2 linked regions of the Tamandua tetradactyla genome follow. The protein of the gene in region 2 interacts with the protein of the main gene of each other region in a biochemical or structural test. Links are inferred from orthologs where the notes say so. Each region holds a gene or a part of one and is shown on either strand. Other genes may lie near its edges.

Evidence for each region.
Region 1: the proteins of USP8 (region 2) and STAM2 form a complex in vitro, tested with the Homo sapiens proteins (3 studies listed by BioGRID, with this or other methods). The link is inferred for Tamandua tetradactyla from reciprocal best matches to the Homo sapiens genes USP8 and STAM2.

Annotation. Positions count from the first base shown.
Region 1 is NC_135329.1:122,445,694-122,461,751, forward strand, and holds the start of STAM2 (signal transducing adapter molecule 2), read right to left. Parts: upstream 6,596-16,058; 5' UTR 6,283-6,595; coding exon 6,243-6,282; intron 1-6,242.
Region 2 is NC_135340.1:64,911,027-64,927,179, reverse strand, and holds the start of USP8 (ubiquitin carboxyl-terminal hydrolase 8), read right to left. Parts: upstream 8,485-16,153; 5' UTR 8,262-8,484; intron 1-8,261. UniProt on the Homo sapiens protein: Hydrolase that can remove conjugated ubiquitin from proteins and therefore plays an important regulatory role at the level of protein turnover by preventing degradation. Converts both 'Lys-48' an 'Lys-63'-linked ubiquitin chains.

The sequences.
Region 1 (16,058 bases), on a different chromosome or scaffold from region 2:
TCCAGCTTAACAACCACTCTTGATTAAATCACATCTCCAGGGAGATGATCTGATTACAGTTTCAAACATACAGTATTGAATAGGGATTACTCTACCTTTATGAAATGGGATTTGATTAAAACATGGCTTTTCTAGCGGACATAATCCTTTCAAACCAGCACACTCTCTTACCTTATTTATTATTTACCTTACTCCCAAACCATAATCTAATTAACCTTAGAATTAAATATATATCAATGAATAAAAATCTATATTTAATTATGGATTTCATAAGTTGATGTGAAACAAAAAATGTTCTTTTATCTTAACTCCTAAAAGAGCCAAAAAGATAAAGAAATTCCTTTGATAATGATTTTTAACCAATCTATTAATAAAATTTACATGAAAGAACAAAGAACAAAAATAGTTAAGGCAATCATAAAGAAGGAAGGAAAAAAAATGCACCTACTCTTCTACAGAATTACCCTTCAAAATACAGTCCTAGCAGTGAATAAAGAAGTATTTGCAAAGTCCCCCTGGGGGACTGGGGAGAAAGGAAGAAATATTCTCCATTTGGAAAAATTTTCATATATCTCGCAAGCAGTGGGGAAAAACTGAATCAACAAGCCAAGCCCTAGATCTTGGGGTTCACCCCATCAAATTTATTCCTGCAAAGGGCAGACTACGCCTAAGAATCACCCCCAAAGAAACTCTTTCGTTGCTCAGTTGTGGCCTCTCTCTCTAAGCCAACTCAGATGATCTCATTGCCCTCTCCACCTACATGGTATTAATCTCCAGGGGTGTAAATCTCCCTAGCAACGTGGGACAGAACTCCAGGGATGAGCCAGGACCCAGCATCAAGGGGTTGAGAAAGCCTTCTTGACCAAAAGGGGGAGGAGAGAAATGAGACAAAATAAAGTTTCAGTGGCTGAAAGATTTCAGAGTCCTTATCCTGGAGGTTATTCTTATGCATTATATATATACTCCTTTTCAGTTTATGGTGTATTGGAGTGGCTAAAGGGGAGTACCTGAAACCGTTGAACTGTATTTCAGTACTCTTGATTCTTGAAGATGATTGTATAAAGGTATAATTTTGCAATGTGACTGTGACTGTGAAAACCTTGTGCCTGATGCTCCTTTTGTCCAGGGTATGAACAGAGAGTAAAAACATATGGATAAAAATAAATAAATAATAGGTGGGATATGGGGTAAAATAAAGTGGATGGATGGAAAAACTAGTGGTCAATAAGAAGAAGGGGTGAGGGATATGGGATGTATAAGTTTCTCTTTTTATTTCTTTTCTGGAGTGATGCAAATGTTCTAAAACATGATCATGGTGATGAATGCACAACTATGTGATGATATTGTGAGCCACTGATTGTACATCATGTATGGACTCTATGTGTGTGAAGATTTGACAATAAAAATATTTTAAAAAAATACAACCCCTAGGGAAACTATTGCTCATGTGCACAAGAAAATATCAATAAGAACGTTCACCGTAGTGCTGTTTGTAATTGCAAAAAACTGGGAACTTCATGTCCATCAACAGGAAAATGGACAAATAAAATGTGGTATATTCACAAAGTGGAACACATAGAAGTTAAAAGCAATTAGCGAGAGTACAAATATCAACATAACTCAAAAAATGCTGAATGCAAAAGCTGCAGAATGGTACACAAAAGACCTTTTTAAGTTTAAAAAATATAAAGCAATGCAACAATACATTTGTATTTGTAGTATATTATAAAATCGAATTTATATCTATTTGGAGAATGGTTAACTCTGAGGTGAGAAGGAAAAGAATAGTACCAGGCTGCTGTTAAAAATACCAGATAATTCAAATATATCATGAATGCTTTCTTAAATTAAAAAAAAAAAAACTGTGACAAAATATTAGCACCTCACAGAATTGACTGGTAGGAGCAGGAATTTATGTTACATACTGTAATTTCAGCTCAAAAACATTTCATACTTTTGGGCGGTGCCATGGTGGCTCAGTGGCAGAATTCCTGCTTGCAACACCCGAGACCCGAGTTTGATTCCCAGAGTCTGCCAATGCCAAAAAATATATATATGTATTAAAAATACTTCATACTTTCAAAAATCACAAAATACATTCATTAAAATTTGTGACTAGCTAAAGGTATTAGGATTATTGGTAGCATACAAGCAAAATAAGATATAGGAAAAAAGTCTGTTAAGACTGATTTTGATCCATAACCTGTAAGTTTTTGCAAAGATTTTAACAACCTAATTGTGTTCAAGAATTGACTTTATAAGCAAATATAGAAATCTGAATGTATAAATGTTTATTATTGAAATGCTACCAATACGTATTTTTATTTTCTTATAAAATTTCATTTGAGAAAAGGATTCCATGACTGAAAAGTTTGAAAGCCACTGTACTGATCCCAACTTGCCTCCATATCAAGTTCTACACACACACACATACACAAGCAAAAGATACAAGAATATAAATATTCAAATTTCACTGAGAAAAGTTTCTTTTTAAGATAAAAGTTCACACTTCAAGTCACTGAGTTAGAGGAGTTTTACAGAGGTAGAATTTGAGCTCAGTTTCTAGGACAAAAGCAAATATATCTAGAATGAAAGAGATATCAAGGCTCTGGCGGAAAAAATATCAGAAGGGTAGTAATGGAAAGTAAATGGCACAGTGACAGAAATTAGCAAGAAAGATCATCAGGCTTGAGTAACCGGAAGCATGCAAACAAGAAAGAAGTCAGGGAGTAGAACAGACAAGTTACAACTCAGGAACCAATGTGGTGAGGTTGGAAAAATTTGGTACAGAATATAAGGAAATGACATCTCTTTAAACACCAACCACTAAACCTTCCTACTGAGGCTCTGTGTTTCACTTTCTTCTTATAATTCTCCAACACTGGCTGCCCTCAACCAGGCTTTGCCTCAGGATCTCTATTCCCCCTTTAGGACTCAGGCCTCAGTAGGGTTTGGCAGAAGTGGAGGAATGTTTTCTTCTTTTCCCCCTTGGCAAAGCTACAAAAAAAAATTTATTAAACAAAGCAAAAAATAAATCCAGATTTGAAGAAAATCATCAAACATAAAAGCACTCTAACGATACCCTTCTTAGCTTACTTAACTTCGCCTTCAAGGATTGTAGAAAAAGTAGGAACTTGCCAGAACTTCTTTCTTCCTAACCCTTAGCTGGTTTCCATCTGAAAAGTTACACACCATCAACTTCTGAAGGCCTTCCTAACCATTCTGACCTATCACAGCTCAGATCAAGACATAAGCTTCAGATCAGGGCCTAAGGAAAGGGTTTCTTCCCCCACAAATGATGTCAGAAAAGGCTGCTCAATCTCCAGGTGAGACTCCACATCTATGACAGGAATGTGTTTCAGTTTTAAAGTCCTTAATTTAAAAAGGACCATCTTTTACATACAGTAACTCGTGGCTGCTTCCTACCAGTGGAAATGCTATCAGGAAAGGAGGGGGCAGGGATAGTGGCAAACATCTTTACAGGGAAAGCTCTTAACTGAAAGTCACTGTCTTGTCTGCAAGGAGGACTTCTGATAGCACTATATTTACTACATATTACATATTATTGAATAGCACTGTATTTACTACATTTACTACATATACATATTATAGGCATGGTTTTTTTTAACTTTTTTATTAATTAAAAAAATTAACATGCAAAACATTAAGATATCTATTCTACATATACAATCAGTAATTCTTAATATCATTACCTAGTTGCATATTCATCATTTCTTAGAACATTTGCATCGATTTAGAAAAAGAAATAAAAAGACAACAGAAAAAGAAATAAAATAAGAGAAAAAAAAAGATTATACATACCATACTCCTTAGCCCTCGCTTTCATTTACCACTAGCATTTCAAACTAAATTTATTTTAACATTTGTTCCCCCTATTATTTATTTTTATTCCATATGTTCTACTCTTCTGTTGATATAGTAGCTAAAAGGAGCATCAGACACAAGGTTTTCACATTCACAGAGTCTCACTGTGAAAGCTATATCATTGTTCAATCATCATCAAGAAACATGGCTACTGGAACACAGCTCTACATTTTCAGGCAGTTCCCTCCAGCCTCTCCGCTACATCTTGAACAAGGTGCTATCTGCTTAATGCCAACCAAGAATTCTATATCCAGAAAAATTGTCCTTCAAAAATGAGGGAGAAATTAAAACATTTTCAGACAAAAAATCACTGAGAGAATTTGTGACCAAGAGACCAGCTAGGCATGGGTTTTTTAATGTTCTTTTCATATGTGTCCTCTATTAGATTAAGTTCTTTGAGGGCAGAAACTCTCAATCTATTTATTCAACTTCCTGTCCCCAGAACTTAACACGATGCTTGACAGAGTATCTTTTGGTGCATGTTTGTTGAATGAGCAGTGAACAAATGTACAGCAAGAAGAAACAGAGCAGGTGAAAAAGACAATAACAAAGACTGTGAGGGAACACTCCTGTAGACATCTCAAGTCATAAATAATGACTTGCTTTGTATTATTTCAAATTAAAAGGCGCTTTTAAGATCTGAAAAATGTAAAATAGAATTCTTCTGTTATGATACAGGTTTAAAGGCTAATCTGAAATCTTTAGTATATCATTCCACTTTTGTTATTAACTCCCTGCACTTGACTAAAAGTTACAGGTGGGCCTCAATCAAACATGTTCTTTCATTCAGTCATACTTGAGCTAACAATTAAGCACTTGAGGCTTCTGCTGATGGCACTCCTGTGAAAAAAATTTATATACCGCAGAGTTTTTGGTCCCAACAACAGTGCCTCTTTTACTAAACTATATTCCACTAAACCATGTGGAGGGCCTCAGGAACCACAGAAGGTAAGATTTAGAGAGCAAACAGGCAGAGTTCCTCAGCCTACTTAGACCAGGGAAGTTTTCAATCACAAAAACATTGGGCTTCTGGGAAGGATTTCCCTTGAAGAAATAATTCCACCATTTTTACATTTTAAGATCATTTTACTTATTCTATTTCACCCTTTCTATTTTATTTCATTGGAACAAAATAAAAGTCTTTCTCATTGAAAAGTACAACTCAAAAAAAAACTAAGGAAAAAACAAAAAGTACAATTCTCACAAAGGTAAAACAGTTGCAACAAAGAAACCATTAGGTATTCCAAAAGCAGAAACAGTGCACTTCAACATGCTGTTTCCCAGATTTATGTCAGGCACTGTGTTCCATTATCAAGAAAAAAGTTTAATGAAATAAGGAACATGCCCACCTGAATACTATCTGAGGGTCAAGATATAAATATTTCAGCTCTCTAGGAATAGAAGAGGCTTATAACATTCGTCTTATTTGACTCTCACATATATGACTTTTGAATACACCTATAGCTTCACATAATATATCAAAAGAAGGAACTTTCTAGAGTCTTCTCATAATTAGAAAAATGTAACTATGAAACAGGTGGCTTGCTGCTGCCTGCGAGACTAAGGCAATTTTCAGCTATGCTTTTTATTCCACCAAGGCCTAAAACTCTACCTAGAGTTAACTATTGCTACGAAATGTTTTCTTAGTTTGTTTTACTGTTATTCCAAAGCTCAAAATAAGTCTCTACGTTTCATCCTTCCTTTTCTCATTCCACTGTCACTGAGAGGCAAATACTCTTACGACCCAACAAGTAAATATTAGCTGTTTTGAACTGTTTTGAGATCCTCGGGTTGGCACTTTCCTTTTCATACTCTTGAGACAGAAAACATCTCGTAACACCTGCGCCATTTGAGATTCAAGAGTAACACCTCCAACTGTAAACAAATCCTGAGGCTGCACCATCAGGAACTGGATGTATTTGTATATAAGCAACGTTAGATGAATTTTCCCTACATAACGGGGTGAATCAAGGTCTCTAGGGTTGCCCTAGACAGTAGGGTCCCCACTACAGCATCATCGCCCTAAAAGGAGGGCGGCGGGGCTCAATAGCCAGGAGAGGGAGAGCAGGAAGTTTCTATCACCAACTCCGCAATAGCTTAATTAGTCCAGCCTCCAGCGAGCCCCCACGCTCCTCCGATTCCGGAGCTTGGCGTGGCGAACGATAGTCTTTGGGTCCTCGACCTCAGAAAAGTAGGAGACATCCTCTAAACCGCTGGCGACGCGCGCAGGATACCCCCTAAAAAACACGGGCGCCCAGGCGGCGGCACCGCCCCTTCTCTCCTTCAGCTAGACTTCCTAATCCTTAAACCCGCCGCCTCCCACTTTCTAGTTGGACAGACAGCCCGGCGCCACTCACCAACGTCCTGCTCGAAAGGGTTAGCGGTGAAAAGAGGCATGTCGCCAGCACCCGAGCCCTAGTCGCTGGAGTCTGGCTGAGGCTCCGCAACTAATCCCTGCTTGGTGACCCCGGGCCGCGGCTTCCTACCCGCTGAGCTCGGGCCACAGTCCTAGCATTTGCGCCACCGCACCTGCCCGGCTCCCGCCTGACGGGCAGACTCCCGGTCCACGCTCCGCCCCGCGGCCAGCCGCGAGGTAGCCTCCCGGGTCAAAGTCTTTCCAGCCGCGGACATCCTCCCGGTGGCCCTTTCGCCGCCGCGCGCCGGGACAACGTGGCAGCCGTGTTCCCAGCTTCCCTCATGGTTCAGGCGGCCGCCCTGGCCACCTTTCCATCGTTAGGACCCCGCCGAGCCACGGAGCGGGGACCTTCGGCGCCGGAAGTTGTCGCGCCTAGAACCGGGCAACGCCGGAGGCCCGGAAGCTATTGAATCGGTGGCAATTCGGCAGAGTCCGGGCAATCCTGGGTTTTCTGCTCAGGGCAACCGGCTTAGACGCCGCGTTCCTATTTCTGTGTCAGGTTAGTTCCTGAACCAGTCCCTTGCAGTCGTGGGCCCGCAACTACGTTTCTGTCACAGTGTTGTTGCCTTGGAAACGGAGCCGCCGACACACAGGTGGCTTTGACAGTCTGGGAATGGCCTGGCTCAGCTCCCGGGCGCTTTCGGTGTTGTATCCTCTTTTGCACTTGACCCCGGCAGTAGAAAAAAAAAAAAAGACACCCGGAAAACAGTAGTACAAGAAACTATATCTGTAAGACGTCCTAATTTCGCCTTCCATAGTGTTCTCGCCATGAAAACATTGCTCGGTTCTTGGAATACAAGAACGAATGAAGCCCAGTCCCTGCCTTCAAGAATTGCTGACGGTTTTATAGGAGCAGTTATTCATACATGACAGCATAGGGAAGATCCTGATATACAGTAGGAGTCACAAACTCAGATTCCCATAGCAGCCAGCCAGTTTAAAAATGGATGTGTAAGTGCAAGAATCTTTCCCAAACACACATTGTCCTTTCCTCTCAACCCTGTTTAATTTTTTCCCATGGTATTTAACTCTTCGTAATATATCATTTATTTGTCTGTCTTTCCTGGTTAAAATATAAACACCATGATCAGTTTTATTTATGCTGTATCCATAGCGTTTAAAAGTGACAATAGGTGCTCAATGAATGCTTTTGTACTATCAAACTGAACAGCGCTTATACCTAAAGACTGCAACTGTTAGTAAGCTTCAGCCGTTTGTTGAAATATGGGCCCATAATATTAGCACTTCTAGTAGAACTATTTCAACATTTTAAACAGTGGAACAAATAAAATCGTTTTACAACCTCTAGGTATAGAGATGGTATTATAGAAGAGAGAAGCCTTACACATGTAATAATTCAGAAAGATAGCGGCATTTTTTTATTTTAAAGATAGGTGTAGAAATGAGAAGGGAATATCTGCAGATGAAGGGGCTGGTTTTCAAAAGCCACTGAACCTAGGAGGTACAAGATATTTGGAGCCTTTCTGGGTGGGTTTGTCTAGAGTTAAGGCTCAGTATTGGAAAAGAAAACGGGTAGATAAAGGTAGGAGGAAACAGAGAAGAGCCTTAAAGAGCAAACTAAGAAATTTCAATTTTAGCACATTAAGGATTTTGAGAAGCAGAGTAGTATAATAAAACAGTTTCTGGAATATTAATTTGACATCAGTGTTCATGATGGATATAAAGAAACAGACCCAGACGGAACAATTTAGGAGGTTATTGCAGCACTTGAAAACCCTGAGAGGAGATTTTGTCAGAGAGTTGTATTGAGCTAAGAGCAGAGGTTGAGGATTAGCCTTTGGAAAGCATTCACATTTTAAAGTGACTTCTTTAGCTCCTCCTGCTCCATAATAGCAAGTACACCCAAAAATCTATAGGTGTTTACCTTTAGATGTATGTACTCAGTTCTTGATGAGTTCATTCAAACGACAAATTTTGAATAGTCACTAGGAGCTAGACCCTATGTTAAAAACAAGAAAAAACAAATATTGTTCATTGTTACTTCATCTAATGAAGTTACTTCATCTAATGAATGAATCTAATATGTTGGTTTTAACCCACAAATTCTGGTGTGCAAAGAGATGCATTTTCATCTTTCTATAATACCATCTTTTTTGAGTCTCTGTCTCCCTGATGACAAATGCAAAATAATCTTACCAATTTCAGATAAATCCAGCCTCTTTAAAGTTTTCTTTATTAATTTGGGTTTACACTTCAAATTGATGATTTCCTTCCCTCGGGCCACCTTCCCCACATACCTATACCAAGCTGATGACCAAATGTACGTCTGAGGATTTCCTCTCATTGTTGTCTTTCAGAGCAAGCTGTGGACACTAAGTCCACATTAGTAAATTCATCTGATCCTTACGGGTTTTTTGCCCTTCTCTGTACCACTGGGGCTTGCCAGAGATTCCTCACTGTATCTGTTCTTTTTCTTTTGCAATTTTATTGAGATATAGTCACATTGATGTTTCTTCTTTGGAATATCAACATGATTAGGGTCTTTATTAGTCAGGATCCAGCCAGAAGACAGAAACAACACTAAATTGAACAGAGAATTTAATTGTTAACCAGGTTTTTTAAAAAATGAGCTACAGAAAAGTAAAAGGACCGCGCGGCGCCCACGCCCGGCAGCAGCGGACCCGCCCGCCCTCCTCTCCCCTCTTTTGTCCGCCGGCCCGCCGCGTGGTGCCCACGCCCCGCAGCAGCAGACCCGCCTGCCCTCCTCTCCCCTCTTCCACCTTCACCAGCTCCTCCACCACCAGCCTCGACAGCTTTGCCACCCTCACCTTTCCTCCTCCAGAACAGCTACTGGGGGAGTGGAGATAATACAGAGCAGCTCCCGGAGCCACGAGGGAGATCAAAGGGACAGCGTACCCCATCCTGGAACGGCTGACTATCTGGGAGAACCAGCTCCGGTGAGATCACCAAGGGGCACGGGCTTTCCTGGGTGGGACGGCAAGCGACCGGAGTCCCTCCCTTCCACCTTCCCAGGCCAGCTGGTAGAATTGGACAGGCGGTCCCCTTAGGCCGCGGCGGCTGGTGCCCCCACCACACGAGGCCCCCCGGACCAACAGAGAGTTGGGTCGGAAATCCCCAGGCTGCTGTGAACAGTGACCGGGGGATCCCTTCCAAACACGTGACTCCCCCGTCCGGCTGGGAACAGTGCACTCTCCCGGGCTGCGACAGCTGGCGCCCTCCCGCCACGCTTGGCGCCCCGGGCCGACTAGCTAATTCGGCCAGACGCTCTCCCGTGCTGCGGTGGCCGGCGACCCTCCCCGCATTCGGAACCCCAGGCCGGCTGGCACTCTTCCAAGACGCTTCGGCTGCCGAACCTCCCCTACGGCGAGAATTTTCCAGAGTTAAAGGACCCACAGCAACTTTCACTGCTGTAACCCGTAGACAAACGTGTGCCACGAGCGCCACCTACTGGGCAGGATAAGAAAAACAGAACCCAGAGATTGCACAGAAAAATCTTTCAACCTGTGGGGTCGAACACCCAGGGAAATCTGACTAAATGCCCAGACGCCAGCAGAAGATAACGGATCACGCTCAGAAAATTGAACATATGGCCCAGTCAAACAAACAAACCAATAGTTCAAATGAGATACAGGAGCTGAAACAACTAATGCTGAATATACGAACAGAAATGGAAAACCTCTTCAAAAACGAAATCAATAAATTGAGGGAGGACATGAAGAAGACATGGGCTGAACATAAAGAAGAAATAGAAAAACTGAAAAAACAAATCACAAAACTTATGGAAGTGAAACATAAAGTAGAAAAGATGGAAAAAACAATGGATACCTACAATGACAGATTTAAAGAGACAGAAGATAGAATTAGTGATTTGGAGGATGAAACATCTGAATTCCAAAAAGAAACAGAAACTATAGGGAAAAGAATGGAAAAATTTGAACAAGGTATCAGGGAATTCAAAGACAATGTGAACCGTACAAATATACGTGTAGTGGGTGTCCCAGAAGGAGAAGAGAAGGGAAAAGGAGGAGAAAAACTAATGGAAGAAATTATCACTGAAAATTTCCCAACTCTTATGAAAGACCTAAAATTACAGATCCAAGAAGTGCAGCGCACCCCAAAGAGATTAGACACAAATAGGCGTTCCCCAAGACACTTACTAGTTAGAATGTCAGAGGTCAAAGAGAAAGAGAGGATCTTGAAAGCAGCGAGAGAGAAGCAATCCATCACATACAAGGGAAACCCAATAAGACTATGTGTAGATTTCTCAGCAGAAACCATGGAAGCTAGAAGACAGTGGGATGATATATTTAAGTTACTAAAAGAGAAAAACTGCCAGCCAAGACTCCTATATCCAGCAAAATTGTCCTTCAAAAATGAGGGAGAAATTAAAACATTCTCAGACAAAAAGTCACTAAGAGAATTTGTGACCAAGAGACGAGCTCTGCAAGAAATACTAAAGGAAGCACTAGAGTCAGATACAAAAAGACAGAAGAGAGAGGCATGGAGAAAAGTGTAGAAAGAAGGAAAGTCAGATATGATATATATAATACAAAAGGCAAAATGGTAGAGGAAAATATTATCCAAACAGTAATAACTCTAAATGTTAATGGACTGAATTCCCCAATCAAAAGACATGGATTAAAAGACAGGATCCTTCTATATGCTGTCTACAGGAAACACATCTTAGACCCAAAGATAAATATAGGTTGAAAGTGAAAGGTTGGGAAAAGATATTTCATGCAAATAACAACCAGAAAAGAGCAGGAGTGGCTATACTAATATCCAACAAATTAGACTTCAAATGTAAAACAGTTAAAAGAGACAAAGAAGGACACTATATACTATTAAAAGGAACAATCAAGCAAGAAGACATAACAATCATAAATATTTACGCACCGAACCAGAATGCCCCAAAATATGTGAGGAATACACTGCAAACACTGAAAAGGGAAATAGACACATATACCATAATAGTTGGAGACTTCAATTCACCACTCTCATCAATGGACAGCACATCTAGACAGAGGATCAATAAAGAAATAGAGAATCTGAATATTACTATAAATGAGCTTGACTTAACAGACATTTATAGGACATTACATCCCACAACAGCAGGATACACCTTTTTTTCAAGTGCTCATGGATCATTCTCAAAGATAGACCATATGCTGGGTCATAAAGCAAGTCTTAACAAATTTAAAAAGATTGAAATCATACACAACACTTTCTCGGATCATAAAGGAATGAAGTTGGAAATCAATAATAGGCGGAGTGCCAGAAAATTCATAAATACATGGAGGCTCAACAACACACTCTTAAACAACGAGTGGGTCAAAGAAGAAATTGCAAGAGAAATTAGTAAATACCTAGAGGCAAATGAAAATGAAGACACAACATATCAAAACTTATGGGACGCAGCAAAGGCAGTGCTAAGAGGGAAATTTATTGCCCTGAATGCCTTTATCAGAAAAGAAGAAAAGGCAAAAATGCAGGAATTAACTGTCCACTTGGAAGAACTGGAGAAAGAACAGCAAACTAATCCCAAAGCAAGCAAAAGGAAAGAAATAACAAAGATTAGAGCAGAAATAAATGAAATTGAAAACATGAAAACAATAGAGAAAATCAATAAGACCAGAAGTTGGTTCTATGAGAAAATCAACAAAATTGATGGGCCCTTAGCAAGAGTGACAAAAAGAAGAAGAGAGAGGATGCAAATAAATAAGATTAGAAATGGAAGAGGAGACATAACTACTGATCTCACAGAAATAAAGGAGGTAATAACAGGATACTATGAACAACTTTACGCTAATAAATACAACAATTTAGAGGAAATGGACAGGTTCCTGGAAAGACATGAACAACCAACTTTGACTCAAGAAGAAATAGATGACCTCAACAAACCAATCACAAGTAAAGAGATTGAATTAGTTATTCAAAAGCTCCCTAAAAAGAAAAGTCCAGGACCAGACGGCTTCACATGTGAATTCTATCAAACATTCCAGAAAGAATTAGTACCTACTCTCCTCAAACTCTTCAACATAATCGAAGTGGAGGGAAAACTACCTAATTCATTCTATGAAGCCAACATCACCCTCATACCAAAACCAGGCAAAGATATTACAAAAAAAGAAAACTACAGACCAATCTCTCTAATGAATACAGATGCAAAAATCCTCAATAAAATTCTAGCAAATTGTAGCCAACAACACATTAAAAGAATTATACATCACGACCAAGTAGGATTCATCCCAGGTATGCAAGGATGGTTCAACATAAGAAAATCAATTAATGTAATACACCATATCAACAAATCAAAGCAGAAAAATCACATGATCATCTCAATTGATGCAGAGAAGGCATTTGACAAGATTCGACAATCTTTCCTGCTGAAAACACTTCAAAAGATAGGAATACAAGGGAATTTCCTTAAAATGATAGAGGGAATATATGAAAAACCCACAGCTAATATCATCCTCAATGGGGAAAAATTGAAAACTTTCCCCCTAAGATCAGGAACAAGACAAGGATGTCCACTATTACCACTATTATTCAACATTGTGTTGGAAGTTCTAGCCAGAGCAATTAGGCAAGAAAAAGAAATACAGGACTTCCGGAGAAGATGGCGGCTTAGTAAGACGCGCGGGTCTTAGTTCCTCCTCCAGAAAAGCAACTAAAGAAACAGAAACAATACGAAACAGCTCCCGGAGTCACGACAGAGACCAAAAAGACAGCGTACCCCATTCTGGAACAGCTGAACGGGCAGGGAGAATCTGCTGCGGTGAGATACCCAAGGGGTGCGCGTTTTCCCTGCCGGGGCGGCTGGCGACTGCGGTCCCCTCCACGCACGTGGCTCCCCGGTCTGACTGGGAACGTTGGATAGCGGGGCCCTCCCGTCACGCTTGGTGTTTCGGGCCAGCTGGGCAATTAGGACCGGCACTCCCCCAAGCCGCGGTGGCCAGCGACCCCCGCCTCCACGCGCGGTTTCCCGGGCCGACTGCCGTGCAGACAGACGAGCGCCACAAGCGCCACCTACTGGGCAGGAAAAGAAAAACAGAGCCCAGAGATTTCACAGAAAAAGCTTTCAACCAGCTGGGTCCCACACCCAGGGAAATCTGATCAAATGCCCAGACACCAGCAGAAAATAATGGATGACGCTCGGAAAATTGAAGATATGGCCCAGTCAAAGGAACAAACCAATAGTTCAAATGAGATACAGGAGCTGAGACAACTAATGCTGAATATACGAACAGAAATGGAAAAACTCTTCAAAAAGCAAATCAATGAATTGAGGGAGGACATGAAGAAGACATGGGCTGAACAAAAAGAAGAAATAGAAAATCTGAAAAAACAAATCACAGAACTTATGGGAGTGAAGGACAAAGAAGAAAAAATGGAAAAAACAATGGATACCTACAATGGTAGATCTAAAGAGACAGAAGCTACAATTAGTGAACTGGAGGATGGAACATCTGAATTCCAAAAAGAAACAGAAACTATAGGGAAAAGAATGGAAAAACTTGAGCAGGGGATCAGGGAACTGAATGACAATATGAAGCGCACAAATATACGTGTTGTGGGTGTCCCAGAAGGAGAAGAGAAGGGAAAAGGAGGAGAAAAACTAATGGAAGAAATTATCACTGAAAATTTCCCAACTCTTATGAAAGACCTAAATTTGCAGATCCAAGAAGTGCAGCGCACGCCAAAGAGAATAGACCCAAACAGGCGTTCTCCAAGACACTTACTAGTTAGAATGTCAGAGGTCAAAGAGAAAGAGAGGATCTTGAAAGCAGCAAGAGAAAAACAATTTGTCACATACAAGGGAAACCCAATAAGACTATGTGTAGATTTCTCAGCAGAAACCATGGAAGCTAGAAGACAGTGGGATGATATATTTATATTACTAAAAGAGAAAAACTGCCAACCAAGACTCCTATATCCAGCAAAATTGTCCTTCAAAAATGAAGGAGAAATTAAAACATTTATAGACAAAAAGTCACTGAGAGAATTTGTGACCAAGAGACCAGCTCTGCAAGAAATACTAAAGGGAGCACTAGAGTCAGATACGAAAAGACAGAAGAGAGAGGTATGGAGTAAAGTGTAGAAAGAAGGAAAATCAGATATGATATATATAATACAAAAGCCAAAATGGTAGAGGAAAATATTATCCAAACAGTAATAATACTAAAAGTTAATGGACTGAATTTCCCAATCAAAAGACATAGAATGGCAGAATGGATTACGACCCAGCAATACCACTGCTAGGTATCTACTCAAGGGACTTAAGGGCAAAGACACAGACGGGCATTTGCACACCAGTGTTTATAGCAGCATTATCTACAATTGCAAAGAGATGGAAACAGCCAAAATGTTCATCAACAGACGAGTGGCTAAACAAACTGTGGCGTATACCTATGATGGAATATTATGCAGCTTTAAGACAGACTAAACTTATGAAGCATGTAATAACATGGATGGACCTAGAGAACATTATGCTGAGTGAGTCTAGCCCAAAACTAAAGGACAAATACTGTAAGGTCCCACTGATGTGAACCGACATTGGAGAATCAGCTTGGAATATATCATTGGTAACAGAGACCAGCAGGAGTTAGAAACAGGGTAAGATAATGGGTAATTGGAGCTGAAGGGATACAGACTGTGCAACAGGACTAGATACAAAAACTCAAAAATGGACAGCACAATAATACCTAAGTGTAATGTAACTAGGTTGGAACACTGAATGAAGCTGCACCTGAAATACGGTTTTTTGTTTGTTTGTTTGTATGTTTGTATCTTTTGTTTTTGTTTTTTCTTTTTCCTTTATATATATATATTATTAGTATTATTATTTTAATTCTCTTCTCTATATTAACATTCTATATCTTTTTCTGCTGTTTTGCTAGTTCTTTTCCTAAATCGATGCAAATGTACTAAGAAATGATGATCATACATCTATGTGATGATACTAAGATTTACTGAGTGCATTTGTAGAATGGAATGATTTCTAAATGTTGTGTTAATTTCTTTTCTTTTTTTTTTGATTAATAAAAAAATTAAAAAAAAAAAAAGAAATACAAGGCATCGAAATTGGAAAGGAAGAAGTAAAACTATCACTCTTTGCAGACGACATGATACTATACGTAGAAAACCCAGAAAAATCCACAACAAAATTACTAGAGCTAATAAATGAGTACAGCAAAGTAGCAGTCTACAAGATCAGCATTCAAAAATCTGTAGCTTTTCTATACACTAGTAATGAACAAGCTGAGGTGGAAATCAAGAAATGAATCCCATTTACAATCGCAACTAAAAGAATAAAATACCTAGGAATAAATTTAACCAAAGAGACAAAAAACCTATATAAAGAAAACTACAAAAAACTGCTAAAAGAAATCACAGAAGACCTAAATAGATGGAGGGGCATACCGTGTTCATGGATTGGAAGACTAGATATAATTAAGATGTCAATCCTACCTAAACTCATCTACAGATGCAATGCAATACCAATCAAAATCCCAACAACTTATTTTTCAGAATTAGAAATACCAATAAGCAAATTTATCTGGAAGGGCAGGTTGCCCCGAATTGCTAAAAACATCTTGAGGAAAAAAAACGAAGCTGGAGGTCTAGCGATGCCGGACTTTAAGGCATATTATGAAGCCACAGTGGTCAAAACAGCATGATATTGGCATAAAGATAGATATATCGACCAATGGGATCGAATAGAGTGCTCAAATATAGACCCTCTCATCTATGGGCATTTGATCTTTGATAAGGC
Region 2 (16,153 bases):
TAAAGGCAAAACACTGATATGTTCACAAAACAAAATTGCACAATTTTTCCTTCATTTATTTAAACTAACATCTGACAGAAAGGCTCAATGCTAAAGAACAGAAATCCTTTTATTCTCCATGCCTCAAACTAAACACTAAACTTATATGATAGAGCAAACAAGGTCTCTTTAATTGCACACGTGAAAAATCATTTATGATGCATAAATATTGTTACACAGGGTACAAAATACTTTTGCTTTACGGTTGGCTTTGGAAGTTTGGAAAGAATGAGGACCAGTGGTAGAAGTGGGTGAACCATGGAGAGGTATGCCAGGTGGGCAGAGAAAGAATTAATTTCATTAGAGTTGTTGGCCCATCTGAGGAGAAGGAAGCAGAGGACCCTGATTTGAAATGGAAAAATTAACAGACTGTATTTGCTGGGTTTTTGCTCTTGCTATTCAGCTTGGAAGTGGGGGCGGGGGGGGGCGCGGGGTAGAGGCACTGGGCCGTCAGGGCGGAGCAGGCTCAGAGCTGAGAGAGGTGTCCTTGCTGGGGCTGGGTGGTTACACAGGGAAGTAATGAAAAGTGAAGGACCAGGAATGAGAAACCATTTATGCCCAGCAACTGTTGCTACAGTAACACCAATGTGAGAACAAACTATACAAGCACATATATATGTTTGCATCTTAATTCATGCCAGAAAACATACAAAGTTAAATGCCTAATTTTCTTCAGGTGGAATTACAGAAGCAACTTTGGACAGGAGGCCTCTGAGCTGGGTCTGGGTGTCCCAGACAAGAAGGCCCATGAATTTTCCCAGCGGGCCTTAGGGAAAGGCTATGGGGAGGGCAGAGCTGAGGAAGAAGACAGAAAGGAAACAGGAAGCAGTCTACCAAGTCAGGCTTAAATTCACAGACTTTGGAAGGAAGCAGCAGTTATCCAAAGGGTGCCTGGGGTCAATGGGAGCTCTTAATTCCCAAAACTGACTCCTGGAAGTGCCCCTCTGTGTGACACAGGTTTCAAGCTGTGATGACAAGACTGAAAAACTAACAGAACTGATGGTATTTCCATCCTTGCTGGGAGGTGTCTGAGGAAGGATAGCAGTGGCGGCAGCAGTGGCATCTGGGTAGGTGAATGTAGCATATGAGATGCCTGGGGCCAGCTCTGTGGTATACAGAGGGTAGGAAGTCCGAGTCTATGGGGATGATGGAATCAAAGCAGCTACCACCTGGTCATAAGGGTCCTGTATGATGAAGTGGGCTTCTAGCATGGAGTGAACACTGGTGGGATTTGGTGTTGCCATGAGCTTGCTCTTAACCATCTTGCTCCTGGCTTTAGCAAACGCCAACCTCAAAGTCTGCAGGTTCTCAGGACTGAAGTGAATACTATTCAACACATTCTTGGCCCCTTCTCCTCTATACATTCTTGGCCACTTCTACTCCTGCCCAACTGTCAAAGATTGCAAGCAAGAAGCTGTCTTGACATGAGCTAGATCAGGGATCCTTCAAATCCCTTCAACGAGCGGGAGAGCAGGTAGAGATCTATGGATTCAACGTCCATAGGGAGACCACTGAAAAAAAAGCATCTGGACCTCTTCTTCCAGGCAGCTGCCTGTGATCATGCCCGTGCCTGTGCCTGTGTTAGTGCTGTGCCCACTGGCCAGCTTCAGGTTGCTTTAGTACAGTAGGAGAGGGAGGTTGAGGGGAAAGGAACACGGAGAGTAAGTTTGACACACAGCCCAGGCATGGAGGTGGGATGGGACGCAGTGTGCAGTGCACTCTGGGAATGCGGGGTGGGGTGGCGGTTGAGGACTTACAGGGTGGTGAGAAGGGGAGTCCTGATATTTTCACTAGGACTTTACACCTGCCACTGTCGAGGCACTTGGCAAAGCTGAAAAGAAAGCAAAGTTCTTCTTTGTTGGCCACCCACCATCTCTCCCCAGTAGGCATCAACAGTACTCGTTACATCCTCTGACTAGGTAAGCATCATGTAATCCACTGTACTCTCATTCTAGTTAAAATGCCACAGTCAAGTAAGTATTGATGAAATAATCTGTTTTGAAATAATCCTAAATGTTAAAAAAGGCTCAACCCTCTGAGGAATTAATCACTGCTAAAGCTTCTGGTATTTTATGACCAGAAACACTGCCTGAGAGCAGTGCTGTAAAAATCTATTCAGAGCAACTTCTGGAAAAATGGTGGAATAAGAAGAGGCAGAACTCATTCCTCCACCAAAAACATCTAGAGAACAGGCAAACTGCCCAAAGCAACAGGTTTCAGGCTTGAGAGACGGAGGACCACTGCAACATATAATGAAGAGCAAGTTGAAGAAATGAAGAAACCACAAAAAAGAAACCGCAGTGAGGGACTGAATTCAGCCATGGCTCCTGGTGCCCATCGTCCACTTCCAAGGCCAGCAGCTTCAGGGTGGCATGGTTCTTGCCCAGCTGGCTGCTGCAGGCTGAGAGAGATAAGGAGGCCTTCTCCCCAGGAAAAGAGGAGGCCACAGCACAGACCTAATCTAATTGTTATCCAGTGAAGCTGACCCTCTAGGATCTGAAAACTTGACCCTTTCAAGGCAGGAGCACTGGGAGCCTGTGGAGTCATGAGAAATTGCAGTAAGTGACTCAATACCACTGAGGCTCCCAGTGCACATTCCCTACCTGCAAGGCCAAGAGCTACTGGTCAGCCCAGTCTCACAGGACTGTCTACTATGGACTGGGACAGTCAGATAAGTCCACCCACCTGGAAACAGAGGGGGAGGCAGCATAGTTCTGATTTATTTGTTGGTCAGCCAAATTTGACTGTGGGGTCCCACAGCCTTGTTACTTTCTGTACAGGCACTCGTAGCATCATGGTCCATTACTTCCACCTGCCTCAGAAATAAAGGGGATGAGGGCTAAAAATAACTCGCATTTGTATGGCTGTGGGGAATAAGCTGCCAAAGAACAGCACCTGCAGAGAAGGCTGGGAAAGTGTGGTCTTGGGAAGCTGCTTTCCTAAGCCTTTACCTAAGGCCCTTTAGAACTGGGTCACACTCCTTGCATGGGAACCTGGCCCTGCTTTGGCTGTGAAATACTAATGAACCAAGGGCCAAATAAGCCCTTTAACACAAACCCAACAGTGCTGATCTGAAATTATTGCGTACCCCAGAAAAGCCATGTTCTTTTGCTCCTAGTCATATTTTGTGGAGACAGCCATGTTCTTTTAATCCTGATCCAATTCTGAAGGGGGGGGGGGTACCTTCTGATTGGATTGCTTCCATGAAGATGTGACATACCCAATTGTGGATGTGACCTTCTGATTAGATGGAGATGTGACCCTATCCATTCAAAGTGGGTCTTGATTAGTTTACTGGAATCCTTAAAAGAGCTAACATAGATACAGACATTTGGAGATGAAGATAGTAAAGGCCTGGGTGCTAAGCAAGGACTCACAAAAATAGCCAAAACCTGAAGAGAAGAAATCTCCAGCCTTGGGAAATGCTAAGCTAACAGATAAAACCCAGAGTTTTGCTCAGGAGCAGTTAGTAAGGGCCCACAGCTGCTCAGAGAGGAAGTCATTGGAATTAGAAGTTGGAAGCAATGGAACCAGGAACAAGGACCACCAAATGCCAATCATGTGCCTTCCCATGTGACAGACATCGGCCATTCTTTGAAGTCAAGTTATCTCTCTCTGGATGTCTTAGTTTGTACATTCTTATGGCCTCAGAACTGTAAACCTGTAACTTAATATATTCTCTTTATAAAAGCTGATCCATTTCTGGAATATTGCATTCTGCCAGCTTTAGCAAACTAAAACACCAAGCAACAAAAAAATTGTAGACCAGATAAGGAAACCAACTTTCAAAATAATTGTATCAAGATAATCAGATGCTCAGACACCAGCAAAAAATTAAAAGATAAACTATGAAAAAAGAAGATATGGCCAAGCCAAACAGTCAAATTAAAAAGTTGGAGGAGAAACAGATTTTGGAACAGCTATTCAGAGATGTTCAAACAAATCTCTTAAATAATTTAAACAAGATGGCTGAGGAGATGAAGCTATTAAAAAGACAGGAGAGCATAAAGAAGAATTTGAAAGAATGCATAGCAAAACAGATCTTATGGAAATGAATGACAAGGTAGATGAAATTAAAAATATACCAGAGACACATGACAGCAGATTTGAAGAGCAGAAGAAAGGATTGGTGAGTGAGAAGACAGAGCAAATGATTTCTATCAGACAAAAGAGCAAATGGAGAAAAAATGGAAAAATTTCAACAGGGTCTTGGGGAAATGACTGACAACACAAATGTACAAACATATACATCATACGTATCCCAGGAAAAGAAGAGAAGGGGGAAAGGCCAGGAAGACTGAGGAAATAATGGCTGAAAATTTCTCAATTCCCATAAAAGACATAATATGCAAACTGAACAAGCCCAAAATACTTCAAACAGAGAAATTCAAATAGACCCCCTCTAGGACCATACTAATCAGACTGTAAAATGTCAAAGACAATGAGAAAATCCTAGAAGTAGCAAAAGAAAAGTGATTCACAACATCCAAGGGAAGCCACATAAGGTTAAGCTCTGACTTCTCATGAGCCACCAAGGAGGCAGGAAGAGATCTGATAAATAAAAGCCAAAGGTTAAATGGTTGAAGAAAGGACTGCTTTTACAGCAATAACACTGAATGTTAATGGATTAATTCCCCAATCAAAAGGTATAGATTGTCAGAATGTATAAGAAAAATATATGATCAATCTATATGCTATTTACAAGAAACTCATTTTTATATACAAAGACACAGACTTGAAGTGAAAGGATGGAAAAAGATACTGCATGCAAGCAGTCTCCAAAAAAAAAAAAAGCTGTGGTAGCTATATTAATAACAGACAAAATAGACTTTAAATGCAAAAACATTATAAGAAACAAAGGATACTACACAGTAACAAAAGGAGCAATTCACCAAAAAGAATTAACAATCATAAATATTTATGCACTTAATCAAGGTGACCCAAAGTAAATGAGGCCAACACTGGAAAATCTGAAGGGAGTAATAGACATTTCTATCATAACAGTGGAAGACTTGAATACACCACTTTCTTTAATAGACAGACCATCTAAACAGAAGATCAATAAAGAAACAGAAAACCTAAATAAAACCATAAATGAACTAGACCTAACAGACAAATATAGAACACCACACCCCAAAACAGCAAGATAGGCATTCTTCTCAAGTGCTCATTGAACATTCTCCAGGACAGACTACATGCTGAGGCACAAAAGAGGTCTTAATCAATTTTAAAAGACTGAAATTATACAAACAGCTTTCTCTGATCATAATGGAATGAAGGTGAAAATCAGTAACAGCTGGAGGACTGGAACTGGAGAACTTCCCCATCTTGGGAATTCCTGATATTCTTGTTAGCAATGGGGACAACCAACTCAATAGGCTGAGCCCTCAATCTTGGGGCTTGCCCCATGATGCTTATTTCTGCAAAGCAGAGGCTAAGCCTACTGATAATCTCACCCCCAGAGAGGCTCTTTTGTTGCTCAGATGTGGCCATTCTCTCTAAGCCAACTTGGCAGAAGTCACTGCTCTCCCCCACCTCTACATAGGATAGCACATGACTCCCAAGGGTGTGTGTAAATCTCCCTGGCAATGTGGGACCTGATTCCCCAGAATGAGCCAGGACCTGGCTTCATGGGAATGAGAAAGCCTTCTTGACCAAAAGGGAGAAGAGAGAAATGAGACAAAATAAACTTTCAGTAGCTGAGGGATTTCAAACAGACTTCAGAGTTTATCCTGGAGGTTATTCTTACGTATTACATAGATATCCCTTTCTAATTTATGGTGTATTGGAGTGGCTAGAGGGAGGTACCTGAACCTGTTGAACTGTGTTCCAGTAGCCTTGATTCTTGAAGAAGATTGTCTAACTGTACAGCTTTTACAATGTGACTGTGTGACTGTGAAAACCTTGTGTCTGATGCTCCTTTTATCCAAGGTATGGACATATGAGTTTAAAAATATGGATAAAATAAATAAGTAAATATTAGGGGGAGTAAGGGGTAAAATAAATTGGGTAGATTGAAATACTAGTGGTCAATGAGAGGGAGGGGTATGGGGTATGGGATGTATGTATGCATGTACATCTGCTTCTGAAGAGGTACAGATGAAAAATATATATACAGAAAAATGCTCTGAATATATCATGAAGATAAAAAGCATTATGTTCAAATAAATCAGAAGTGTACCATATTCTGCACCTACTATATAAATCCAAACATTGGTCCAATACAATTTTTCACCATAATTATGGTAGGCTAAAGACGGCCACAATTTCTTTGACATTGTTCCCTTCAAGAGACAGGGATCTACTGTCGCAGAGTGGGGAGGCCTCTTTGACCTCTCTGACCAAGAGCAAATGTTAGAAGCAATGCTATACCAATTTCTAGGTTCAGGCTTTAAGAGATTGGCAGCTCCCACTTCCTGTCTCTTCAATCACTTGTTCTTGGAACCCAGTCACCATACTATGAGAAGACCCAAGCCCCATGAAGAGGCCACATGGAGGCTCTTAGTTGACATCCCAACCCAGCTCTGAGCTAATATCAACTACCATCCATATAAATAAGTCATTCTAGATACTGAGCCTAGTTGAGATTTCAGATAACTCCAACCCTAGCTGCTGACCTGATTACAAACGTATGAGATTCACTTAAGTGAGACCCATGCAGCTGAATCCAGCCAACTTAAAGAAACATGAGGGAAATGAAAAATGCAATTTCAAGACACTATGTTTTGGGGTGATTTGTTACACAGCATTATGTAAGTGGGACAATGAATAAGATACGAAAAAAATGCTTCTTTAATGATATTTACTCTTATAAGTACTCACTTTTTTTCTTCCTTTTACCTATACAAAAGTGAATTTTCTTGCAGAAAGTTCAAAATAAATATATTTATAATAAATAAAATACCATTATAAAATATAACATAGATACTTTGTGAAAATGTCTAAAAAAAATCTGATGTACTGGCTTTATTTCCCAACTCTTTAAATCTACAAAAGCCACTTTGGTTATGTTCCATTATATTCAGACTTACAAACAAATGCCCACAATGATTAATAAAGTACAAAAAATATATAAAAAATTAAAATTTAAAATCATCTTTAAAATGGTTTTATTTTTTTCATACGCTGTCTTCTCAAAAAATAAAATGTATACCTATGGGACACAATTTCATTAATAGTAGTTTCATTTTTTTTACTCTTATAGGATCCTTAGTATTTTAATTTTTAAAATGCAACTAATGTGTCACAAGAAAGGAATACACATTTCAAGATAGCTGGATCACAAGGTAAAGACATAGCACAACCTACATCACCTTTCAGATAAACTGGCCCAGAACTGTGAAGACAGAAAAATTATCTAAATCCATCATGAAAGAGATATTAAAAAATGATCCTTAAACAGAATCTGTTGAAATGCAAAATTTGCTTACAAAGCAAAGCCGCAGAGCAAGCCAAAAACAGGAACACTTCCTTAACAAATATCACTTGACCTTTTTAATGGCTGCAGCAAGATACACACTAAACTAAGGATGCACGCAGATTCAAAAAGAGTAATATCCTTAGGTATTCCTTTCATCTGAAACATTCAGAGCTCTTTACAAATATCAAATTCCCTCAGGATCCGCAACATCTCTGTGAATGTAGTAAATTTTCTGTTGGTGATTAAGGGACTTGCTTCAAGGTCACTGAACTAGAGGCAATAAATGAATCCAGGAGTGTGCTCTGCAGCTTTATGGATAAATGCACATAATGCAATTCAGGATTCTAATAATTTCCAAGGTGGTGTGGAGATGAAATTAACTTACCCTACAACTCTAGGATAAAAGGCACAGTTTAGGAAAGAACGCTCTGGAGCTGGAGAAGTCACAGTTTTAACTGGATGAACTTAATAGTCTTTAAACTCATACATGCAACTTGACTAAAATAAAGTGTGACTGGGGCAGAGGAAGGATTGGGAAACACTGAGCATTTGATAGGCCTGTGACTGCAGACTGACAGCAGAAGATCAGAACAAGGAGGCAAGCGGAAGGAGGTCAAACTCTAGTCTGAGCGTCCAGAGGGAATGACCATGGCATCTTCTAAAAGAGGAAAACCTGAGTCCACAGGAAACTCGCTAGGCAACGCTAAGTGAACGGCGGGAAAGACTCAAGGCTGGGCCCTTGCTTCTATAGTCGGTTATTTGTTTGGGGATTGTGCTACCCCTCTCGGTGGACAGGGCTTACCTCCGGGGTGACCAGCAGCCGGCGGAAGGAAAGGGGGCTCACTGAGGACGACTTCCCGGGGACGACAGGTCAGGACCCAGTCCCATACTCACCGGGGCGCCGGGGGTACTTCACTAACACCAGCCTCCTCGCCAAAGGCCCATTTCCCACCAGCCCGAGGAAGAATTAGCCCTTCCCTATACCGACGGAAGCCAGCCCAGTTCATCCCCTTTTCCCGATTTGCACTGCGTCGCGTCGCGTCGCGTCTCTAGACGTCACTGTGGGGGAGGGGCTTCGCCTTAACCCCTCCCACCTCCACTGTCCAACTCCCGGCCGGACCTGGGAGGGCTGCGTGGGAGCGGAGCCGAGGATAGGAAAAGGCTAGGAGAAAGATTTTGGTGGGCGAAGGGGGCTCCGCCTCTTCCACGGTGCGCTTAGCCCGGTCCAGGTCTCCTGCCGCTCCCCGCGTTCCCCGGCCCTCCGTGGTGTTACTTCGCGTCCCGGGCCTTGAGGGGGAGGAAGCAGTATTGCTTTTGTGTCTCATAACTACGTTATTTTTCTTGTCAGATTGGAAATTTAGGACTAACTAAAAGAAAGATTTTAATTCCGTGGAATTTGTGGCTTGAAGTTTAACTCATTCTCTGAAGCCAAGCCTCTGGTCAAAAAAGAACGGACATAACCATACAACACATCATATGTACACATTTAACGTGGAAGGCCCAGTCCTACGAAAACAAAACTAGATGTCTGAAATTTTTGGCGATCTTTGTACTCTCGTAGAGAAAGGTGATTAGATGCTCCAAATATGTGTAAACAAAAGTTGCTTTGCTTGAAGCTGTCAGCCATGGTCACTAAGGTCACAGGAACTGTCCAGGTGTCTCATGGCTGGGTAATCTGGAAGGTGAAGTGTAAATGTCTTAAGTGCATGGAAGATAGGTGTTCATTACATTTGTAACTAATAATGGAAAGCCCCTTTTACCATAATGCTTCACGTATACTAGTCTTTCAATAAAGACCTAAGTTATACACTGTTTCTCCCAAAGAGTTGATTGATATAAGAAATATATTGTAATCCCTTAAATTATTAAATAAACAGGAAGCCTTAGTAAATTTTTCATACCTGAGGAAAAAAATATTAAAACTGCGACTGTCTTTTGAGAGTGGATCCTATGAAAGGATAGTTTTCTCCTACTGAACACATTAATGACTTTGGGAATGAAAAGAAAAGCCCAGAGCAAAGTTTGAGAGTAGGAACCAAAGAAAGACAGAGGGAGAGGAATTTGGAATTCTCTGAAGACAATCTAAGAGAGAGAAGAAGGGCAAGAATGTGATGCGAAAGAGAGAGAAGCCATAGAAGTGAATCAGCCAATGGAAAAAAGTTTCCGAAGGTGGAGTGGCAAAAGGATTTTAATAAATAGGATTCCATAAATTCCATAAATAGCAAAAAAAATTATTTTTGTCGCTCTGATGTAACACTGCCCCAATACCCACCAGTAAGTTGGGTTACCTCCTTTTCTTCCCTAAAATTTCAGTAAAGTTTGCTAAAACACAAGTCATTCGCAAAAAGCAGGAAACAAGTATGTACTTAGGAAACACATTTTAGACTTTTCAAAATTTGTAGAATAAGAGTTTTTTAAAGGACAAGGTTACCTAGATAAAAACTGCTTATTGAATGGAATCATAGATCCTGGCTCTCTTTCAAATAAGTGTTGTAACAACTTATATATGTACAGAATATGTGGTACCTAGAATCTAAGAAGTAGTAGTCACTAGCGGTTTAGAAGGCATAGCCTTTATTTGATCACAGTTTCAATCCATGTGCTATCCAGCATAAGCAGTAGTCCAAAACTTACGGAACCTGACTCATCCTTCATACAGCAACAAATGTGTATTAACTGCATGTTCTATTCCAGGTTCTGTTATAGACTTTGGGGATATAAAGTCCCTGTTCAACACAAAGCTTACTTCTATTCTGGTGGAAGAGACAGATCATAAACAAGTACATATATGCTATGTCAAGTGTTGTTAAGAGATAAGAAGAAAAATAAAACAGGGTAAGGTACTAGTGGGACAACAGGGTGCTAATTTTGATGGAATAGTCAGAGAGGGGCTCTCTGAGAAGGTGACATTTCTACAAAGACTTTGGTGATGAGAGGGAACTGGCCATGGGTACATGTGAGAGAAGAGTACCCAGCCAGGGGGAACAAAACAGGTAAAGGCGACAAGGCAGGAAAAAGTTAGTATGCCAGAGGAAATGTAAGGAGGTTCAGTATGGCTGGCAAAGAGTGAGTAATGGAAGCATTTCAGAAGATGATCTTAGAGTGGAGCAGAGGAGGTAGAGAACAGATTATGAGGGCCTTGTAGTCCACTGAGACATGCTGATCCCAGAATAATACAAGGTGTGAATCACATGCTAATATTTTATGAAAAAAATACCTTTCATACATATGATACAAGTAATAACACTGTAAACATCCTAATGGTGTTTTAATTAAAGCACGAGTACCCTGTGGTTCCTTTGCTAATTTATCACTCTTTTCTAGCCATCTGTTTTTTATCTCCTAAAGCCACACTGATTACTAACTTAGGTCAGATGTATGGCCTGTCAGACACAGCATTTTATCTCTAAGAGTTATACAGACAAAGGGTGGGAAGTTTGGCTGTTGTCCTGGATTTCAACCTCAAAGATTAGGTCCTTGCCACTCCTGTACTTCACAGGGACTCTATCAGCCATTGGTTTATCTTAACTTTTAAAAAATCAATTAAATCACCACTTAGGGTAATACAAGTTCTATTTTTTATGTGAAGTCATACTTCTATCTAGTTGGCCTAAACTGACCTACCTTTTAGGGATGCTCCCTCACTCTATGCTTTAGGATTTAGTGAACAATTTTGTGTCTATCGTTTTCATTCTTTCATGATTTTACAGAATTAGGTCTTTTATCCTCTCTGGCCTTTTTTTTCCATCTGCTCTAAAGAGTTTGAACCTGATTATTATGTTCTCCTTCACTGGTTCCCAATTCCAATTATTGCTTTCTCTTTTGGATATTCTCTACTTTAGATTTTCCTCGCAGATGTAATGTTCAGAATACAATATTACAAATGAAGATGAACATAGTTTTATCCCAGATGAAAGAAAGTTTTTAATTTGTTGACCCTATCACAAAATTTTCGCCTCCTTAGGTCATCAAGGAGTTAATTAAACTTCTTAAAAAGAGTTTCTGCAATTTGGTCATGCTAACATTAACTGGCAAAAAGTAAATCCTGTTCAATAGCCACAGGAACTGTTGAGCCAAAACTGTATTGAGTTGAGAGCATAGAATCAATATACATTCTTACACCTCTTTTATATACTTACAAAAATATTGTTTTAGCCATAGTGATGTCTTAAGGAAGCATCTAATTTAAAGAAGATATTTCTTTAGGTCAAAATTCTAAAAAAAAATCCATCTGCAATTTATTCCCATTTATATAACTCCTTAGTACCTAGAGTAGTATAAGATCATCTATGGTGCAAATTTTGATGATGTGTTTATTTCTTCCAAATCATTGATGCATGTATTAAATAATGCATGCTCTGGTAGTTTTCAAATATTGGAATTGTTAAGCAATATGAGAATATGCTAAATAAACAACACAAGAACACACAGTGCAGGCACAAAACAGAAACTCATAGACCTGGGCCAGCTGAGTGCACAGGATTCTCCTGCTGTTAACCAAACCATGGATAGCTGTGCTTGGGCATGGCATGACTAGATGCACCAGGGTACTTTTCCAGAAGAGGGATCCTGGCACACTGACACCTCACATATCTATAGAGGAGTTGGGAGGGAACAGGGATCACTGGCAAATTTGGAAAGCAATATTCCTATAGGGGCCACAATCTTGTTGGTTTTACAAACAAGCTGTTTGACACTGTCATCTTGGGAGTTTTCTTTATCAACACTGGTTTCGACCTGAGTCTTTACAGCCTCTCTGCAGAACCAGCTTGTTGCTAGGTTGCCTGATGTTAACCCAAGAATGCTGAATTTACCCAACAGACAGATTAGTGCATCTCCCATCAAATGTTCATAAGAACCAATCTCTGAGATTAGGATTCAGTAGATAAGGAGATGGAGAGAAGAATTTGCATTTGAAAGAAATGTCCAGGATGATTCTGATATTGGTGATCATGGACTCCACCTGAAGAAAAACTACTTCATCCAGTCATGTGAAAACATTCTCTTCAATCTGAATTTCCATGTTAAATAGGTATCTGTGAGTCATTTCTTTTTTTAAAACATAAAAACATACAAACATAAACATTCTTTTACCATATGATCATTCCATTCTTGATATATAATCAATAACTCACAATATCATCACATAGTTGTATACTCATCACCATGATGATTTCTTAGAACATTTGCATCAATTCAGAAAAAGAAATAAAAAGAAAAGAAAAAAGGAAAAAAACTCTTACAAACCATACCCCTTACCCCCCCCATTGACTGCTAGTATTTCCATCTACCCAATATATTTTAACCTTTGTTTCCCCTATTTTTTCTATACCCCTTACAACACCCTTTCATTGATCACTAGTATTTCAATCTACTAAATTTTAACATTTGTTCCCCCATTATTTATTTATTTTTAATCCATATGTTTTACTCATCTGTCCATACCGTAGATAAAAGGAGCATCAGACACAAGGTTTTCACAATCACACAGTCACATTGTGAAAGCTATATCATTATTCAATTATCTTCAAGAAACATGGCTACTGGAACACAGCTCTACATTTTCAGGCAGTTCCCTCCAGTCTCTCCATTACCTCTTGGATAAAAATGTGATATCTATTTAATGTGTAAGAGTAACCTCCAGGATAATCTCTTGACTCTGAAATCTCTCAGCCATTGACACTTTATTTTGTCTCATTTTACTCTTCCCCCTTTTGGTTGAGAAGGCTTTCTTAATCCCTTCATGCTGAGTCCCAGCTCATTCTAGGATTTCTGTCCCATGTTGCCAGGAAGATTTACACCCCTGGGAGTCAAGTCCCATATAGAGAGGGGGAGAGCAGTGAGTTTGTTTGTCATGTTCGCTGAGAGAGAGAGGGGCCACATCTGAGCAACAAAAGAGGTTCTCTGGGGGTGACTCTTAGGCCTAATTTTAAGTAGGCCTAGCCCATCCTTTGCAGGGATAAGTTTCCAAGATTGAGGGATCGGCCTTTGCTTTGGTTTCCCCACTGCTTGTGAGAATATCAGGAATTCTCCACATGGAGAAGTTGAATTCTCCCCCTTTCTTGCCATTCCCCCAAGGGGACTTTGGAAATACTTTTTTATTCACTGTTCAAATCACTCTGCAATTTATCACAGCATCACTCTGGAGAAGCCTACAAAATCTCATACCCTATTCAAGGTTCTATGTACTTATGGTGTTCAATTAAATTGTCCACATAATTGTATTAAGAAATGCACTAGTCAAAATATAAATTTTGAGCCAAATAAACATTTTTTGCTTAGTCTCCCACAAAAGTTAAAGTTTTAAAACATAAATTACCATCTGTTTTAAACATCCTGCAATATTGACATTCCTTTGTTCTTCGTCATGCAAAAACATTTTTTAATTTGTACATTCAGTCGCTATCATTGTATATTCTAGGCATTCCTAGATTATACTATATAAGTCTTTATTGTCTATTTTTCCTTCTGATTTCATTTGTGCCCCCAGCCCTCTCCCCTCTATCATTCTCACATTCAGCTTCACTCAGTGTACTAACATTATTGTATTACAGTTAGGTAGTATCATGCTATCCATTTCTGAATTTTTACAATCAGTCCTGTTGCACAATCTGTATCCCTTCAGCTCCAATTATCCAAAATCTACCCTATTTCTATCTCTGGATGGTTTCTGTTCTTAACTGAAATTCTCCAAGTTCATTCACTAATGTTAGCTCATATCAGTGAGACCATACAGTATTTGTCCTTTTGTTTCTGGCTAATCTCTGTGAAACATCTTATGTAAAGTTTTTGAAATTTTCATTAGATGACAAGATCCCTTAAACAGTTGCTGGGAAGCTTATAAATCTTATTCCTGGAAAATTTTTAAATTCTAAATCCATCAGTATGCCATTCTGGTAGCATCTCTGTGACTACCTTCTGTCCTAGCATTAACTATTTTTCCAAATCAGGCAGCCTTTTACTAATGAGAGAGAATTAAACACAGGACAAGTAATCTTAGACAGAATTGGAAAGTCAGGATAAGAAAGATATGAGTGTTATAGGAATCAAGATTTCATAGGAAGACCTTGGGCAGCTGAAAGTGAGCACAAAGCGATATGAATATATGAATCCCTCCCCATCAAAGGGGAACAAGCGAGTAGAAAGGAAGGTATACGTGTTAAAGCTTCCCTGTTTTGATTGGAATCAATCTCCCCAAGGACTTTTGTAATTCACCTATTTATACCTACATACAAATACACATTCATACTATACATACATGTTTAAACTTTCCATCCACTGATCCAGAAAATTGATACTCTTTGTTAGTACTATGTTCATACATAATTATTTTGGATGGACTCTTTTTCCCAAACTGAAATTTAAAAATAAATTTTAGAAGGCTATTTTATTATAGACTCAAACTATTCTTTCATAATCATTGTTTCAATAATTTTACAATTAAAATTGGTCAACTCTCTCTGATTCTGACTAACAATATTTATATTTTGTTGGGAAGTATTTTATATTTTGGCTACTAATCATAAATGACTATGTCTCAGAATCTCTTTTCTCACCATGCAGCAGTTGATGCTGTTTTTCCAAATGTGTGTCTACTTTAAAAAAGGTTAGCATTAAGTTATTGAGTAAGCAGAGTGGGTATATGGTATAATTTGAGCTGTTCCAGAAAGTTCCTTTACCTAAAATGTATATTCACAACTGATGTGACACGGATATCTAAAATCCCCACCATTCAAATAATTTTGTTGGTTTAAGGTATCAAATCCTGTCATTTCCTAAGAGACTCTACCAGTAACCCATGGGTAATAAAAGAACAATGGATAGGTAAACTATGAACTTCTCTTAGCCACAGCCATCTTATTTAGAAAGAGGAGACCTTATTGCTGAACATACCTGGCTGGTTTGAAACTGTTAATGTATCCCCCCCAAAAAGCCATATTCTTTATCGTAATCCAATCTTGCAGGGGCAGACCTATTGTTGGGTTGGATCTTTTTATTAAGTTATTTCCATGGAGATGTGACCCACCCAAGTGTGGGTGGGCCCTTTTGATTAGGTGCTTTCCATGGAGATGTATCTCTGCCCATTCAAAGTGGGTCTTAATCCACTTACTGGAGTTCTTTCAGAGGGAACCGTTTTGGAAAAAGAGATGTTTGGAGATACATGATTCTTAAAAGAATGCCTACATTCAGGTTGTCTCTTTCTTTGCTTCTCTATCAGAAGTAACTCTTATTGCTAAAGTCACCAAGGACTTCCTAAATGCAAGATTCGATGGAGACATTTTAGTCCTTATCTTTCTTGGTCTTTCTCTGGCATCTGCTCTAACTTTCTCCTCCTTTTACTTCTATGACTCCAAGCTTTCTTGGTACATCTCCTTCTTATTGGACAGTTCCTCAGCAGCCTACTTCAAAGGCATCACTTCCTTCACACACACCCAAAATGCTAATGTCTCCCATGGTTCTACCCTGAGTCCTTTCCCCATCTCACACTATTATTTCTCCCTGAGGAATTTCATTCATCTCATAATTTAAACTACAGTTTATTTCTCGATAGCTTTCAAGTTATTCAGTCCAATTCTTCAGACACATAAATAAATATATAAAGTTCCCGCAAGTCATCTATATCTATATGTTTTCCCATTGTCTATACATCAGTGCCAAATCCCTTAGCATATCTACAAGGATCTTCATGATCTG